Linked DNA regions of Caenorhabditis elegans. The protein of the gene in region 1 interacts with the protein of each later gene in a pairwise test. Each region holds a gene or a part of one and is shown in the gene's direction. Other genes may lie near its edges. The genes, in order: fbxa-171, T05F1.4, C34G6.3 and ZC239.15.

Evidence for each region.
Region 2: the proteins of fbxa-171 (region 1) and T05F1.4 interact in a two-hybrid assay, tested with the Caenorhabditis elegans proteins (one large-scale study listed by BioGRID).
Region 3: the proteins of fbxa-171 (region 1) and C34G6.3 interact in a two-hybrid assay, tested with the Caenorhabditis elegans proteins (one large-scale study listed by BioGRID).
Region 4: the proteins of fbxa-171 (region 1) and ZC239.15 interact in a two-hybrid assay, tested with the Caenorhabditis elegans proteins (one large-scale study listed by BioGRID).

What each region holds. Positions count from the first base shown.
Region 1 is NC_003283.11:17,562,243-17,568,062, reverse strand, and holds fbxa-171 (F-box domain-containing protein), read left to right. Parts: upstream 1-2,059; coding exon 2,060-2,376; intron 2,377-2,419; coding exon 2,420-2,500; intron 2,501-2,839; coding exon 2,840-3,464; intron 3,465-4,661; coding exon 4,662-4,853; downstream 4,854-5,820.
Region 2 is NC_003279.8:9,629,271-9,633,349, forward strand, and holds T05F1.4 (NAM-associated domain-containing protein), read left to right. Parts: upstream 1-2,117; 5' UTR 2,118-2,125; coding exon 2,126-2,265; intron 2,266-2,310; coding exon 2,311-2,456; intron 2,457-2,504; coding exon 2,505-2,693; intron 2,694-2,738; coding exon 2,739-2,845; intron 2,846-2,895; coding exon 2,896-2,925; 3' UTR 2,926-3,131; downstream 3,132-4,079. Other genes in the region: Protein hsr-9, read left to right, coding at 1-318, 365-579, 673-958, 1,005-1,088; T05F1.5 (BTB domain-containing protein), read right to left, coding at 3,968-4,030, 4,073-4,079.
Region 3 is NC_003279.8:5,894,258-5,898,338, forward strand, and holds C34G6.3 (Non-histone chromosomal protein HMG-14), read left to right. Parts: upstream 1-2,360; 5' UTR 2,361-2,441; intron 2,442-2,600; 5' UTR 2,601-2,630; coding exon 2,631-2,888; intron 2,889-2,974; coding exon 2,975-3,082; 3' UTR 3,083-3,148; downstream 3,149-4,081. Other genes in the region: pgp-2 (ABC-type xenobiotic transporter), read left to right, coding at 1-316, 557-661, 709-912, 959-1,105, 1,173-1,379; tyr-4 (ShKT domain-containing protein), read left to right, coding at 4,064-4,081.
Region 4 is NC_003280.10:3,222,424-3,226,769, reverse strand, and holds ZC239.15 (BTB domain-containing protein), read left to right. Parts: upstream 1-2,038; 5' UTR 2,039-2,126; coding exon 2,127-2,237; intron 2,238-2,282; coding exon 2,283-2,552; intron 2,553-2,865; coding exon 2,866-2,977; intron 2,978-3,019; coding exon 3,020-3,225; 3' UTR 3,226-3,437; downstream 3,438-4,346. Other genes in the region: ZC239.17 (Potassium channel tetramerization-type BTB domain-containing protein), read left to right, coding at 890-1,288; ZC239.16 (BTB domain-containing protein), read left to right, coding at 1,485-1,595, 1,644-2,000; ZC239.13 (BTB domain-containing protein), read left to right, coding at 3,956-4,066, 4,117-4,260.

The sequences.
Region 1 (5,820 bases):
GAAGTTAGAGACGCGTGGGTCTCGCCGCGAGCGCGCTACCATAAGGTGTTGGCGCGTGATTTGAATACGAATATTTATAGATATATTTATATCTCGGCGAATACTGAACGGATTTGAATGAAATAAAATGTAATGAAGAGATAATAATTGGAGTAATGCTCAACGGTGCGGTCGAGCTGATATAGGTTAAGAATAGTGGGCTATTCCGTAGAAACCTATATCAGAGCACTGTTAAAAAGGTTGTCGAGATTGACCTCGAAGGGCTGAATCGACAACACTAATAGAGAATATACGGTATATATAACAACTGATTGTTCCATTGTAGTAGAACTGCAGCTGTTTCTGTATTAATGTAAGAATTTTTGCTCACCTGGGAATTATTGGTGTAATTTGCATCCCCACATAATTAGTTGGTCCTCCCTAAAAAACTACGCTCTTAATTAGTAACAGTGTTTTTGCATTCAAACACAAAGATTTAAGTGATCATAATGAAGTAGAAAAGGGTTCCCAACTCTGAAATTAACAAAAACTTAATTCACTCTGCTGAAAAATTGCGAAACAACTCACGGAGATTCTGCTTTTTCTTCACATTTTTTCCATTCTCCTACTTCTAAATTTTTTTCAAGCTGATCATCCATTTTTACTAATGTTTAGTTTTTCGGATAATCTGAAAAACGAACTAAGAAAGTCGTTTCTTGCTAAATCAAAAAAATTTAAATTGGAATAAACTATTACAACGAGAAGCATTTTTTCAACGCGCTATGAGAAAACGAGTTGTCACAGCGGTTTTTTTAAAATCAATTTTATTGTTTGCGTTTTTCTGTTTGATTCTCTTTCTTAACACGGGAGATAAAAACGAAGTTGTACGACAAAGAGACTGAAGAATTGCAGAAATTCTTTTTTCATGTTCTCTGAAAAAATGATGATAAGTCGAACGAATGGAGAATGTGCGGCAAATACATACTTTTTAATGAAAAATGCAGGGAAAGTAACTCATAATATTGAATACAATTTTTAGAAAGGAGAAGATCAAAAGCCAAACTACATATGTAAAAACAAATAGACGGAACCACTTTAAAATAGTCTTTCAAAAAATAAATTGAATTGAAATCGAGAAGTAAAACCACGAAAAATACAAAAAGTCTTTACTGATTTGCCGTAGATTTGCCTGATCTTTTTGGGGTAATTTCTTCTCTTCGTATTTATATCCCTATTTGGATTGCGTGTTTTCGCCAAATACACTTGGTTTTTGATCAGAGGAGATAATATCAGTTCGTATACAACAACGCCAAGAGACTAGAGAGACTGAGGAATCAAACCAGAATTAGGTCTACCAAATTAGCAATATCAAAACTGGAACAATGTGACTTGGAAAATTAGACGAATGTGGCTAGCAATATATCACAAAAATGTTTGAAATCTTTTGTTTGTTTCAGAAAATTGTGAGAAATTTTCAAGAACGTCCATTGGGATGAAATATGCGCAAAAATGTAACTAAGATCATATTCTTACCATTTCTTATAACAATCGTCTTCCATTTTTTGGAATTTCCACTCAATGTTTGGGAAATTGGTACACCATTAATATCTGGAAAAATCTCGAAAAAGCTTGCCGGTAGGCCCATATCGCCGAAAATTTGAAAATCCTGAAAAACCCTGAGGATGGAACAGGGTGTTGTAACTATTTGAATGGGCGAGTGTCAAAGAGACGTTGGTAAAACTAATACAAACAAATTTATTTTACAGTTCATCAGCTAGAAATATATGAAGGTGGAGCAAGTAGTTGCACAGAGTTCCATTCCCCTCAGTTTGTTTCCGGATCTGCAAGGACATCTTATTTAGGCCAGTTCAAGAATGCAATTGCTGAAGGACATATAAACCCAACAAAAAAAAATGTTTTATTGCGAAACAACATGCTCGACTGTTCTCCTTTCTCTGACTAACTCTCCAGCAGTGCAAGTGCCCTCTAACTCCAATGTCAATACTGAAGAATTCGGTGAAGATATATTGCTAAGTCTAAAATTTTGATGTAATTTTTTTGCCGCGCGCATCATATCAAAATGACTTCCACCGCTCAAAAACCTTACTCCAAAACCTTCATTCGATCTTGTATTTTCTACGAAGTGCTCCAGAAAAAGACTGTGAATGAAGCCTATGAAACAATTTGCAACACCTTGAAGGAGAAGATTGCCTACAAAGAATTTGAATATTGGTTTCATAGATTTTATAATGGTAATCATGACTTGCAGGACGATAATAGGCAGATTGAAGTACGAAATTCCAATGATCTGCGTTGCTCGATCAATCCACCATCAGACGTTCCACACAAAATTTCCGAAAAAGAGTGGTGCAGGAAGTTCGTCGAATATTTTAATGGGTAAGTGCTAAGCTTCTTTACAGAAAATTTTAATGTTTTTCAGTGAGCCACAAGAACCTTCCCTGCAGAATATGCCGGAAAAAGTTTGGAATGAAATTTGTGCCAAAATGGAACTTTGCGATAGGTGAGATTTTATAAAGAAAGTATGATATTTACCGTGTGGTCATAGACTTCTATACACACCCCATGTAATTCAAAAAAGGTCCTTATGCAAAAATTGTAGCAATAAAGTAGATATGAATTATTCAGATGAGTTTTTCCATCAAAGTATTTTTTTTCATCGTCTTTTTATGAAGTTTTACAACTATAGAAACACCTTGAAATGTCTCCGAAAAAATGAATTTTGGGAAGTTTTCAAAAAACAATTAAAACAAATGTTTGACCAAAAATGTTTTTAACGATTTCTCAAATGGCATAAATTTCATCTAAAAGTCAATATGGTTTCAATCCAAAATTTTTCAAGATTCGTGGCCAGAAAAGTTTCGCGCATTCTCCGTGACAAAATTGACCAACAAGAATTTCATTTTAACGCCATGGGAATATGTTTCGAAAAAGATGAAGCAAGACTATTTTTGAACGAAAGAACCGTCAACTACTGCCCAGTACCAAACGGATGCACAATTATCTACGAGAACAGAAAAATTCAAATCAAAGGAACAGATTATCGGAAAATAGCGCTTCAAGATTTCAATACAGTAGTGACTAAAGACGCACGAACATTTTCCGTACTTTTTGAAGCACAAATGTCTGAGCAAATTCGGGAAAACATTTTCAACGATGTATTGAACGTCTTGAGATCGATGAACAAATTACGAGTCCGAAAACTAGTTTGTGAATTGAAAAACGAAGAAATCGACGCAATCCTGCCGTACTTCGAGCCTAAAACGCTCGAAGTTGTTCACTTTTTTGCCTCTTCTACAGACGGCCATAGCACAAAATTAATGGATACAGTTCAGCTGAAAAATGCAAAAGCTTTAATTTTTGACAGTGACACTTGCTCCATGAACATTGAAAAGTTCTTCCATCTAGCTTATTTTGACGTTACTGTGGATCTTTTCGCAAAAGATGATGCGATTAAAATTCGAGATGTAAGTTTTGAATGGTTCAGGGGTTAGGATTAGGCTTAGACTTAGGTTTAGGTTTAGTCTTAGGGTCAGTTCTAAGCATAATCTTATTCTAAACTCAGGCTTAGGTTTAGGCTCAGGCTTAGGCTTGGCGAGCTGACGCTTGCCAATCTAACGCTCGCCACTGACGGTATTTAGGCTCAAGAATTTCCCGTTTTTTTTTAAAATTTTTGAGAGGGTTCCAGTTGGCCGATCAACGCGAATTTTCACAGAGAGACGTATAGGTCACCAAGAAGCTTAAGTCTGAAGTTTTTGACTTAGGCTCACGCTTGAGAGTAGTATAAGTCCCACACGACACCCCCATCCCACACCAGACCCCCCTATTGACCTCTCCCAAAATGGGGTGTCCATCTATGGATGTCCATTTATGGATGGCCATCGTTTTTTATTGTTCTGTTGTATTGATCTGTTTTTTTTTTCGTTTTTTATGGAACTGTTTTTTATTAGAAAAAAATGTTGTACTGTATGGGAGAAAATCTGAAATTAAAAAAATATTTGAAATCGAGTATGTGGAATAAAATGTTTTCATTTACATTTTTGATATGTTTCATTGTGCACGCCTCCTCTCTATTACTCCGCCCCACTGCACAATCAAAAAACTCATTCTAAAGAAATTTCTTTAATAGTGCACACAGCTTTCGGATGACCTAAGTTTTCTTGCAAGCTCCATATGAAGGGCCAGGAGTTATGACTTTCAGTGTAGGGGCTTGTTGTCGTGAAAGTGTCAACTTGGATAATGATGTTCTAAATTTCTTTAGACTGACTATGAGATTTTCGATTGTGCAGTGGGGCGGAGTAATAGAGAGGAGGGGTGCACAATGAAACATATTAAAAGTGTAAATGAAAACATTTTATTCCACATACTCGATTTCAAATATTTTTTAATTTCAGATTTTCTCCCATACAGTACAACATTTTTTCCTAATAAAAAACAGTTCCATGATAAACGAAAAAAACAGATCAATAAAAAACGATGGCCATCCATAAATGGACATCCATAGATGGACACCCCATTTTGGGAGAGGTCAATAGGGGGGTCTGGTGTGGGATGGGGGTGTCGTGTGGGACTTATACTACTCTTGAGCTTAGGAGTTTAGGCTTAGGCTTAGGCATTTGCTGCAGACTTTACGCTTCAAGTATAAACAATTAACATAGTTTCAGATTTTGATGAAATCCGACACTTTCAAATATGCAAACTTCGAATCCGACGACTTCGATCCAATTGAAATTGCAAATGTATTCGTACCAGGATATCAAAGCAATCAATGGCCGATAATAAATTACACACGACACAACAAAAAATTCCTTTTGAAAATTACTCCTAATTCATTTCAAGTTAAACGGATAATATAATTTTATCGATTCGGATTTTTATAAAATAACTTTTAACTCTTTTATGTTGTAGCAATCATACATATATTTTTCAACAGTACATAAACAATACTGTTCAGCTTGTAATAGATCGAATTTGGACAATATGCTGCTCTGAGCTCCATCCAAACATTTCCTTGATTTGCTTTCGGATCTGAATATCCCAATTACTCCCTACAACCTTCACAAGACTTACAGCTCTACTAAAGCACACCAGAAGCCATGGCTGTAGAAGTGATTTCTGCCAAAGAACGAGGTTCAAGCGCATTCCTGAATTTCTAAAGTTTAACCATAGTCCAAATATCATTGTTTTTTTTATTACTCAATATCATATCTCAAATCATGATTCCCAGTTTGGAATTGATTAAACCAAAACTCAAAAGACTCAAATTCAATGACACCATTCCCAACTTTGTCGCAGAAGTTTCTATATGCCACTGTAAGCATCTTCCCGTGAAGATGCTCATAAAGGATACACGCGCGGATTGCAATTTGACTGTTTGGTATAGTTACAGCCACTTGGAATATTGGTCTTGAAATATTTGTGTTTTAAACTTATTAATTTTCAGAAGATAAGCAGTCAGAAATAATAATTGTTTTAATTGAAACGGAAATTGTGGCTATTTATGTTTTAATGAAGAAACTTCTTCTCACTCTGGAATTATTGGTGTACGATTCACGGGCATCCTTTCCGGTGAACACGACATTCCCTGAATTTTTTTTTGTTCAGCTTTAATGTTTTTCTCTCAAACCAAAATATCATTCAATGAATCATGTTTTTTGTGACTTCCAAGATATTGATTTTTCTCACTTTGAGACGAACAAAGCGTGTGGACTCTGAAACATTAAAAAAAACTAACTAATTTTGCTTGAAAATTGCAGAACAACTCACGGTGATTCAGGTGTTTTTTCACAGTTTTTCGTGGTATTTTTCCCAGAGGACTCATCC
Region 2 (4,079 bases), on another chromosome or scaffold:
AATATTACTACAATATCGGAGGCTACTCGTGCTCGTAAGCCAACTACAGTTTCTAATCAAGCAAAACCAAAAGGTCGTAAGAAGAAGGGAGTTGATCTAGTTTCCTCTAGAGGAGGATCAGCAAGTCCGGCTGAAGAAGAAGAAAAGCTTTTGCCAATGAACGAGGAAGCTATTGGAAAGAACATTTTCACCGGAAAGGTCTTCATGCTAACTTCGGCCAATCGTTCAAATTCTGCGAGTGTTCCTTCAATGTTCAAAAAGAAGAATCTGATGAACTTCATTACTCAGAATGGTGGGATCGTCACGGAGCAGCTTAATGTAAGATAACGTCTTACAAATAACATTCTAATCATTTTATTTTAAGAGCTTCCAAGAGCGTTACTCCAACTACGAACCATTGCTGATTTCTGATACGTACTATCGTACTCACAAGTACTTGGCAGCTTTAGCTCGTGGTGTTCCTTGTGTTAACAATACATGGTTACAAGCATGTGGTGAACAGGGGAAATGTGTCGACTATACGGACTATGTTCTTCCTGCAGGTGCTTCAATTTTTGACGAGTCTCAGGATATGCCAGCGTAAGTGAACTTTCATGATGAATGATTTCAATTCCGTTAGATTTTTGATTTTTATAACGATTCTGAAAATTCTGATCATCGAAAACATTTAAGGCCCAAAAATCCATCAGAGCTTTTGAAAGGAACAACAATTTATGTACACTCAACTCACTCAGCTCGTGAAGTAACACAAACTGGACCCGGAGGAACTTTCATCGAGATTTGGAAACCTATTCTTGAGCTTCTCGGTGCTGATGTAGTCGACGGAGACTGGGAAACTCTTGACGAAACAGGTCTCAAATTTGACGTTGTTTTAGTTGATGGAACTTTCCGTGACGAAGTCATGGAGTATGCAGATACTATTGGAGCAAGTAGAGTCACTTCCGAATGGGTTATCCAAGTGAGATTCCGTTTTCCTCGTCGTTTAATTGTTATACATTTTTCAGACAATAATTCTTGGCAAAGCTCCTGAGCCAAATGCTCATCCAAAATTCGATCCATACCGTCTGCATCACCGCACGCGTCATTGAATATCATCTCATCTCACCCCCTTTCCCCATTTCCCTTCTCATTTTGTACACTACGTTTTTATATCAACTTTTTAAATAACTATTCTACTTTCCCTACCGTGCTCCATCCGCTGAAATATCGTCGATCTCTTACTCGAAAATTTACCCGCTCAGTGTGCTGGTCAACAAGCGGTGACATTGTATGCGTATTCATTAACCATTTTTTGTGAATTTTTGAGCTCTTCCCAATTTATTATTATAGAACTGCATTTTCTAAGCCCCTGTTTTGAAGCTCTTCCATCTTTTTTAAATCACGATCATCATTCCTTTCCCAGTTACTTCTGCAACGTATTTATTATAATTTATTCGAAAGCTTCTGAGAACTTTTTAACTATTCCTTTTTGCATCAAAGAGTAACCTAACATAGTGTTTTACTAACCTACAGTACATTCATATGAACACCTTTTGTTGCTTATTCTGAAATGAAAAAATGAACTGTACCAATAACGTTGTCAATTTTCTTGATTTGGCAGCATTAGTTTCAAACAATTAACAATATTTCAAACAGTTCGTTTTCTCTGAAATTTAATGCATTCCCAATTGAGCTCTTTAAATTAATAATTGAGAAACGGGAAAACTACACTCAAAATAATAAAACTGCGTGGCGTGTACTGCAGAAAACCTCATATTTAGGCCCCGCCTTTTTCTTGTCCACTCACGGAGAAAAGGCGGGGCCTAAATATGAGGTTTTCTGCAGTACACGCCACGCAGTTTTCTTATTTTGAGTGTACTCAACATCATGAATTATAAAAAAAAATATCGCTTGAAATATTCGAACTTTTGATTTCTACTTCCCATCAATAAAGGCCCATCAATAAAATTTAAAAAAAAAACATTTAATACATTGTTCGGAAATAACGACAGCCACAAATTCCGCTTTCTGAGCGAAAAAATATAAAATAAACAGTTTTATTCGATTCTTTGTATAAAACAACTATTTTTCCTCTTGTTTAAATAACATGCTTTTAAAAATTCTAAAATTGTTTTCAGCAAGAAAAATGTCCGGCGGGGGCATCATTCCACGCGGAGGTGGTTATTCAAAAAGACGCGGAAGAGGAAGACGAGGTGGTGGAAATGGTGGATTCCGTGATGATATTAGAGATAATCAATCAGATCGACACTTGAGTCCAGACAGAAGGTAAACTAATAAAATTAATTTTATCCATCAATTTCTGGATTTTAGATCAAATCACAGCGAGGATCGTCATGAACATCGTTTCAACAACTATCGCCAACAAAATCGGCCGAATAGTCGTACTCCAAGTCCATCCAATCATAATCAAGTTCAAACATACCGTAATAATCCGTTTGATGCACGTCCTGCTTTATGTTAGTTATTGATTCGATTATTATTAATCTTAAATGTTCTATATTCAGCATCGAATGATCGAGACCAAGGCCGTAACCGGTTTTCCCCTCCATCTTTCAGACGAGATGGAAGGGATAGTGATCGGAATGGATACCATGAGAAAGAAGAAGAGCCAACAAGAGGAAGCCGTAATGATTTACGAACTATTTTGAAACCAACAGACAAAGAAGCAGCTAGAACGTGGAAATTAAGAATCGGTATGAGCAACGAATTTTGCACTGAAAATGCTTTACCAATTACAGCTGACGCCGAAGAAGCTATCCGACGGGCCGAGTTTCAGTTACGCAGGGCAAAAATGGACCACGAGGCTCTTCTAGAAGCATATAAAGAGTACACGGAAACAACATGCGTAAGAAGACAAAAAAAAAATAGAAAATTAACTAATAATTAAATTTTCAGCCACAAGAACTTCTCAAGCCGAACTGGTAACTTCTGATAGCCAATATCCATCCCTCCAGCTGCCGAATCCTAATAATACAACCAAATCATGTCACATTGTCGCTTTAGAGATATTTTCTCATTATGTATTCAAACTATCAGATAGTTTTATTTTATATCTTTATAATATTTTTATTTTTTCTCAGAATCAATATGGATTTTCATGATTTTCAACACAATAAATGAAATTTATTGTTTTTTCTTCTTGTTCATTGTAATCCCATCAAAGATTCATTCGTGTTTTTGAAATTTCCTTCTGCAATTCTTTAGTTTCACGATTTCTCGTCTGGATATGGGCGGAGTCTACATTGGGGTATTGTATTTTGAGCGATCATATGAAACTATTTTTGAAACATCTAAATGGTTTTACCCAAACACGAAGTTTTGCGATTTCAGCGCCAGAAATACAGTACCCGGTATCGACACGATTTTTTTTTGTATGATAAAACGGGTGTGCGCCTTTGAAGAGTACTGTAATTTCAAAACTTCGTTGGTATGTAAGTACGGAAACCGTCTATTTCTTTAAAAAAAACAAGTTTGAACTCATACATTCTAACAAACCGTGAGCAAAACTACAGTACAGCACGAAAGTTTGCAATTACAGTACTCTTTAATTAAATCTTTAAAGGTGCATAACCGTTTGTATAACAGAAAAATGTCGTGTCGAGACCGGGTACCGTATTTATTGCGCAAAAACACAAACGTTCGCGTCTGGGTTATTGTTATATTTCTATGAAAACTTCGAAATCTCGTTTTATTAGCCACCGGAAACTAATTACACTGCTCTTGAAATTATTGAAAAAAGGAATCCAACAACGATGAATAAGAAACAACGGATGTTTAAGCGGAAATAGGCATTTGGTGAAAGTCCTGACTTCCGATCTGTAAATGAGTGCATCCAAAGATTGATTTTTAGTAAATTTAATTTATGAAGATTTCAATTCATATTATTCGTATTAATACAATTTCTTCAATAACTTGTGATAAACTATTTATTTGCTCTTAAAACACATAATACACGTAGAATAGAAGTTCACAAGTGCTCCAATTCAGTCTTGAGACGAGCAAGATGTTCCATCGCTTTTTTAGACAAGTACTGAAAAATGATGATTATTTCTTTCTGACTAACGTAACTTACGTTTTCC
Region 3 (4,081 bases), on another chromosome or scaffold:
TGCTGCTGCATTCTATCTTGGAAGTATTTTTGTAAATCAACAAGCTATGCAACCAATTGATGTCTATCGAGTATTCTTTGCTATTTCATTCTGTGGACAAATGATTGGAAATACTACATCTTTTATTCCTGATGTCGTAAAAGCTCGTCTTGCTGCTTCTCTTTTGTTCTATCTTATTGAACATCCAACACCTATTGATTCTCTATCTGATAGTGGAATTGTGAAGCCGATAACTGGAAATATTTCAATCAGAAATGTATTTTTCAATTATCCAACAAGAAAGGATACCAAGGTTTTACAAGGATTCACTCTTGATGTAGGTTTTAATTTGATACCTGACTTCTATATGACAGTAGTGCAATCCTAGGGTAAAAAGCAATAAGCCTTGACTTTTAAAAACTGGATATGGATTTTTTTTGCGTTTTTGTATCGAATGTTTATGCACTTGCCCTCTGACTTTTTTACTGAAATTTTAAAAATAGGAAAAAAAAAAAAGACAATGATCCTACAATTCTTAACCCACCTGTAAAAACAAATATTAATATATTTATTTTAGATCAAAGCCGGTAAAACTGTTGCACTTGTCGGGCACTCAGGATGTGGAAAATCTACAATTATGGGACTGCTGGAGAGATTCTATAATCAAGATAAAGGAATGATTGTGAGTCAATTTTCTTTCTGATTGGTTTTAACTGCAAACAATTTTAGATGATTGATGGTGATAACATCCGTAACCTAAACATCAGTTCACTTCGCGAACAAGTATGTATTGTAAGTCAAGAGCCAACGTTGTTTGATTGCACAATTGGAGAAAATATTTGCTACGGAACAAATCGAAATGTTACATATCAAGAAATTGTTGAAGCTGCCAAAATGGCAAATATTCACAATTTCATTCTAGGATTGCCAGATGTAGGGTGATATTTTCATAAATCAGAACTCATTCTAAAAATTTCAGGGTTATGATACTCATGTCGGAGAGAAAGGAACTCAACTTTCGGGTGGTCAAAAACAAAGAATTGCCATTGCACGGGCACTTGTTCGATCTCCTTCTGTTTTACTTTTGGATGAAGCAACTAGTGCATTAGATACGGAAAGTGAAAAGGTTTGTATGAAAAATATTGAAATAGCAAATTGACTTTGAAGAATATCGTTTTATTCACTGTTTACAGATTGTACAAGAAGCATTGGACGCCGCAAAACAAGGTCGCACGTGTCTTGTCATTGCTCATCGGTTGAGCACAATTCAAAATAGTGACGTCATTGCGATCGTCAGTGAGGGTAAAATTGTGGAAAAGGGAACACATGACGAGTTGATAAGGAAGAGTGAAATATATCAGAAATTCTGTGAAACGCAGAGGATTGTCGAAAGTCAATAATTTAAATATGTATTAGATTCTCAAACACGAGTTTACAAACTAATTTGCATGGAGTTTCATTTTTTTAATGTTCAATTGAAACAGCTTGATATTTAAAATTTAAATATGCTCATCAAGTAAAATTTTTAGAAAATTTTGTAAACCCGTAATAATTTTTTTGTCATCTAGGTACTTTGCTTTTTCCCCAAATAGCCTTTCCCTCCATCTTGTGTATTTTGTGTGAAATTCTTTGAATTGTGATAATTATCTTTGAATTGTGATAATTGTCTTTTTGTTTTCTTTTTTAAATATATTATTTACCATTTTCACTGCATAAATATTTTTATTTGAAAAAAAACTACTCATCATTCAATATGTAGAATCTAAAATAGGATTTCTTTAGACTATTATATTTTTAATTTAACTTTTTTACTGTAGTTTCATTACACCTATTTCAATTTAAGATCAATGAAACATCCAATCTAAATTTGACGAAGATTGATAAAAGAATCTCTAGAAGATCAAAAATTGGAAATGCTGTGAAAAATTGTAAGGCTGAACAAAATACACGCTCTTTGAATTGGAGGGCATTCGAAGGAAAGTGCTACAGTGTTTGAAAATTTATTTTAAAAGCAATAATAGACCATAAAAATCGAAGGTAACATTGTTTTCATCGACGACTTCCAAACAAGTGGCAAAAAGTGAGATTTTTCCAATTTTCAAAAATTCATATAAACTTTAGAATTTTTTTTTGAATGTTATCACTATTATTTTTTATTAAGTTACAGGAGTTTGATATGAAGTCACGACGTTTTGCTAATAGTAAGAAGGCAAGTGATGAGAAAAGTGAGAAGTGCCTTTCACGACTCAACCGTATGAAATGTATTAATCGGCCCCATAGAAAATATATTTCTCTAAAAATACAATAACATTTTTAATTTAAAAATAACGTGTAACATGTGTTCTACGTGTTCTACAAAAAATATCTGATAGTCATCATCCAGAAAAAAAAATTTCCTTCATCTCAATCCACATCACAATCATTAATTGTTATTTCTGATCAGCTCTCTTCTGGTTGAAAAAGTGAGTTTACTCTTTAGAAACGTGCGATTTCAGACAGCTTGAAATTGGCTTGATGCTCTGCTTAATGTTTTGTTTCAACAAAACAATTGATTTCTTTCGGCAAATCGGAAGTCACATATTTTTGCTGCTTAACAACTGATATCAACGGACCATTTTCAGACTTTCGATTCATCGAAGTAAAACAAAGAAATGACGACTGGAAAGAGTAAAAACACGAAGAAAGACTGTGCTGACAAGAAGAAAACTTCGAAAACGAAGAAGAAGACTTCAAATTTGTCGGTTTCAAGATCCCAAACTTCTGTGGATATGAATGAGAAGGACAAGGCAAAGGAGGCAAAGGAGTTGAAAGAGAAGAAGGCAAAAGAAGAAGCCGAGAAGAAGGTTGTTGCCACACCGAAGAAAGATGCCTCGAAGGATCATGCAAAGAAGGAGGATGATCCTAATAAGGTAACAGTTACGATTTTGAAGTTGATTAGGAAAACACACTGCTAAAAATTTCTTTTGGAAAAAGTTGAGAATATGAACAATTTCAGCAAAACGAGCCAAGTGGAATGGATGTTCTTGTGAAGGAGGACGGCAAGAAGACAAAGATGGACGATGGATACGAGGATTTTGGTCCAGGAGCTGGTGCTGCTCAATGAGCAACTGTCCGAGAAACTGAATCGAAAGGGAACAATTCAATATTGTATTGTAATAAAAGTTTTTTTAAAGTTCGGTGTTTGTGGTTGCAAGTATCTGATTTTGAAGCAAGACATTACACGGGGCCACCCGCCAGGGCTGTTCAGCAACCGGGAATTGTAAGAACAAATGTTGCATTAAAAATCTGCTGGAAGGGCACGAGGAAGAGTAGTGAAAAATACTTGTGAAATATTGTTCGCCACTTGCAAAATGCATCCAAAATATTCGCTAAGTATTTTACAAACGGCATGCGCAGTCTCATTTGGTTTTCAGTTTTTTCCCAAGTGTTTCAGAAAGAGAACACCAGGTCAGTTCCTCGTCCAATTCTTTGTCATTCGGAAATTAATGACATCATCAACTTCTTATCACTATTATCAAAAGAAGAAAAAGAGATCAGCGAATTTCACAGAAAACAACGAAAAATAAAAAAGAAGAGATGAAGGTAAAAGACAAAAAACTGTTACAAAAAAATGAAAAAGGGACGGAGAATCGCCTCGTCTTCATTTTAACTTCATCAGTTTGCCCTGAATCGAACCAGTAATTTTCAAATGTTTTTTGGGTTTAGTTGTCAATTAAATTGACAAAAAATTGACTAGTTTTCTTCTTTCTGATATTATTTCGATGTTTCTCTACTTCACTAACCACCAAAAATGTTCCAATGGAATCTAGAAAATACCATCAAAATTAAAAGTTGAACAAACTTTTCAATAATTTTTTAAAAGTCTTTTCAGAACTGTTGAAATTTGAGCAATTCATTTTATTTTTATTTTTTCCCGAAAATCCTAATGATATTGTTTTTGATTTTTGATTTTATATTTTAGTTTGGGTTTGGTATATATTTGAAAATATAAAATCATACAAAAATTCCTCGTCTTCTACTTTAAATTTATGTAAGAAAAAGGTTCTCCATTTTTCTTGATTTTCAGGTTTCTACGCCTTGAACCATGAGGTTTTTGATACCC
Region 4 (4,346 bases), on another chromosome or scaffold:
TGATTTTAGTAAAAATCGTGAAAAAAAACGGGGGGTCCTATAGAAGTTTCACACTGGATTTTGACGTTTTTTCCAGCGCGACCTCAGTTTTTGAGATAAACTTCTGGAAAAAAATTTATATAGGTTTTTTTCAATTTAAAAACGAACGGCATTAGCAGTTTTTCGAAAAAATTTTCGGAAGTTCCTCAAACCTTCAAATTAGGGGGGGTCCTATAGAACTTTCCCACACTGTATGATTATAAAAACAAAAAAAAATGAAGTTATAACCCCAATTTTAAACTGTAGTGTTTTGAAAATTTTTGGCAATTGGAATCTTCGGAAACTGCTGGTTTCAAAAAATATGGGAAATTTTTCAATTTTTTGTGAAGCTGCCAAAAACTTCAATTGCCGAAAAATTTCGACTGAGGTATTGCATTTTTTATTGGAAATTTTGAAATTTCAGTTGTAACTGCAAAATTACACGTATCTTACATGAAAAATGAGAAAAAATATATTAGAATTCTTGCTGAAAACGAGAAAAAATGTCAAAAATATGTGTCATCCGTTTTTTCTTATAAAAATTCCTTCAGAAATTTTGCACAATTTGCAAAAGCGGAAATCGGAAAGTTTTCTATACATGTCTTGAAAAAAACTCCACCGCCACTATTTCCTAAAATTTGTTAAAAATATAAAAATGGCTGTTAATTGCAAATCGATAGACTTACTGATAACAAAACTTCATCTCACTTTCTTCATTTCTCTTCCCCACAATTTTTTTAAAAACTCTCCAAAAAATGTGCGAAATTATTAAACTAGACGTTGGTGGAACTATATTCAAAACTTCAAAAGATACATTAACGAAACTCGATAGCTTTTTTAAAACTATGTTTGAAAGTGATATTGCGGTATAATGTTGCTGACTATATTTCTCCAAAAACCTGAACATTTTCAGCCGAAACTCGAAAAATCCGGATGCATTTTTATTGATCGTTCCCCGAAACACTTCGAGTTAATTCTGAACTTAATGAGAGATGGGAATCTGTGGTTGCCCGAAACTGAGAAGGAATTGAGAGAGTTGTGTGCGGAAGCAAATTACTATCAGATGTTTGGACTGTACAATAAGTGCGGTGTGAAACTTAGCACTATAATAAACTTCCGAATGATTCAAAATCAAAAACCAATAACTAAAAATAATAGTTATACTCGTTTTTTTGTTTTTTCATTAATTTTTTTGGTATTTGTGTATTACATCCCTGCACTAAAAAGCTATTTTATTGTTGAAAAATCTAGTAAATGCTACCTATTTTAGTGGCTATTAAACGCAATTTTCATTGTATTATGCTATCATAGAAATGTGAACAGACCCGAACGTAAACCTATTATAGTATGGAAAAAAATCAATTGAAAACACTGATAACTTCAAATCGATCGACTCACTGATAACAAACCTTCATTTCACTTTCCTCTTTTTCTCCTCTACAATTTTTTTCAAAAACTCTCCAAAAATGAGTGAAATTATTAAACTAGACGTTGGCGGAACTATATTCAAAACTTCAAAAGATACATTAACAAAGTTCCATAGCTTTTTCAAAACTATGTTGGAATGCAAAACTGGGGTATGAAAATCGTTGTTTTTTTCCAAAAAAAAACGTGAAAATTTCCAGCCGAAAATTGAAAAAACCGGATGCATTTTCATAGATCGGTCCCCGAAACACTTTGAATTGATTCTGAATTTAATGAGAGATGGTGATCTGCCACTGCCAGAAGATGAAAGAGAGCTGAGAGAATTGATGGCAGAAGCTCAATTCTACTGGTTGGATGGTCTAGTCTTAATGTGCTGTGATAAACTTAATTCTACAAAAAAGGTCCAAATTGATCAAAGAGCAAACACTAAAAAATATGATTTATCATGGTTTTTTGTTTTTTCAATAATTTTTTTGGTTTTAGTGTTTGTGTATTACATGCCTGCACTAAAAGGCTATTTTATTGTTGAAAAAAGAAATAAATGTTATCTTTTTTAGTTGTTGGAAATTTTAATTTTTGTTAAAAAAAATCATTTTGAAATATGTACTGATCGATAATCTTATAACTGATAACAAAATTTTACTCCATCTTTCTCTTTTTCTCCCCTAGAAAACTCTTCGAAAATGAGTGAAACTGTGAAATTGGACGTTGGTGGAACTATATTCAAAACTTCAAGATCTACATTAACAAAGTTCAATGGATTTTTCAAAACTATGTTGGAGAGTGACATTGGGGTCCGATTTTTCCAAAAATTTCCCGATAAATTTTCAAATTTTCAGCTAAAAATTGACGAATCTGGGAGTATTTTTATTGATCGGTCTCCGAAAAATTTCGACTTGATACTGAACTTTATGCGAGACGGCGACGTGGTTCTACCCAATTGTGAATTGAAACTGAAGGAGCTGCTAGTAGAAGCTCAATTCTATTTGCTCGACGGACTCATTGAGTTGTGCAATTCAAAGATTGAGCTTGTTGAAGCTCCAAAGATAAAACTTCGATTTATTGAAAGCGATGAACAATTTCTTCAAATTCTTGCTGTTCAACAGAAGGTGAGTTTCGATAAAATAATGTAGTTTTTCAAATTCATAGGAATATCTCAGTCGGTAGTGGTAGCTGCTAGAAAGCTAGAGGTTGCGGTTTCAAGTTTAGACTCATCCCCTAGGTTCACCCAGTCTGTATTGGAGAGTGGAGCAATCCATGACTGTATTATCGGCCACAGTCCCTGGCTAGGACGTGGCTTAAACTATAGGCCAGTGCAAGCTGTAGTCCTAATAGTAAGGCCACACTGTATGGCGTTTGTCAATCATAAAATAATTAACCAGTTTCTTCAAAAAATTTCAGCTCTACATATAATTTTTACAGCCAATGCTCATAATTGAATTTTGCATGGTTGGGAATGATATGTCGATTCCCTATAACTTTAATCTTTACGAGTTCATGGAAAAGTATTCACATCAGTTCGATATTTATTTTCGTAAGTTTTTTGTACATTATCCTCATAAAATAGTCAATTCAGAGCGATTGAGTGAAGACGAACCTTCTCGCAAATGGAAAGCAAGGATAAAATGGAAACCTACTGAGAATGGATATTACAGTCAATTTCCACACAATCTTCGAATTAATCGAGGTGGACGGATAATACGGGATGCAACATTTTTGGAACGATTGGAAAAAATGATCGGGGAGTTTGATGAGTATTTGAAGAAGCAGAGGAATAGATAATTAACTTATTTTATGGATTTTTCGACAATATTTCTAATTTAGAAGCTTAAAAAATTATAATTTAGTAAGCTTGTTTTTTTATCTTTAAACACAAAACACATGGATAAGTTCAAAGTCTGATTGATAACAAACATTCTTATTTTTATTTTTTGAGTTTGGTTGCATCTGTGCCTCAAACCGTAACTATTTTAAAATATGAACAAGGTTGTTAAACTAGACATCGGCGGAACTATTTTTAAAACTTCAAGACCGACATTAATAAAATGTGATGGATTATTCAAAACTATGTTTGAATGTGAAAGGGTCTGATTACCGTAATCGATTAAGAGCGATTGAGTGAAGACGAACCTTCTCGAAAATGGAAAGCTAGGATAAAGTGGAAATCTACCGAGAATGGATATTATAGTCAATTTCCGCACAATCTTCGAATTAATCGAGGCGGACGGATAATTCGGGATGCAACTTTTTTGGAAAAATTAGAAAAAATGATTGGGGAGTTTGGTCAATATTTGTATTTGGAGAAGCAGAGAAAGAGATAATTAACTCATTTTGTGGATTTTTTGACAATATTTTCAATTCAGAAGTTTTTTTTTATTTCTTAACATTTTTGATTTTTTTGTAAAAAAAAAAACAAAATTTCGCAACACTGATAATTCAAAATCGATCGGCTCACTGATAACACAATTTCACTCCGTTTTTCTCTCTTTTTCCTCTCAAAAACTTTTCAAAAATGAGTGAAACTGTTAAACTAGACGTTGGCGGAACTATTTTCAAAACTTCAAAAGATACATTAATGAAACTCGATAGCATTTTTAAAACTATGCTGGAATCTGGAACAGGGGTTTCATGATATTGATTTCTTACCTGATTTGAAAACTTGAAAATTTTCAGCTGGAACTTGACGAATCCGGATGCATTTTTATCGATCGCTCCCCGAAACATTTTAACAGGATTTTAAATTTCATGAGAGATGGTGACCTGTCACTTCCCGAAAATTGGAAGAATTGCTGGCAGAGGCTCAATATTATTTGCTGAATGGACTCATTGAATTGGGTAATATTAAAAAGCTACCAATTATTGAAAGCGCACGAACTTGTTCTGTATCTTCTCCCCCACCTCCA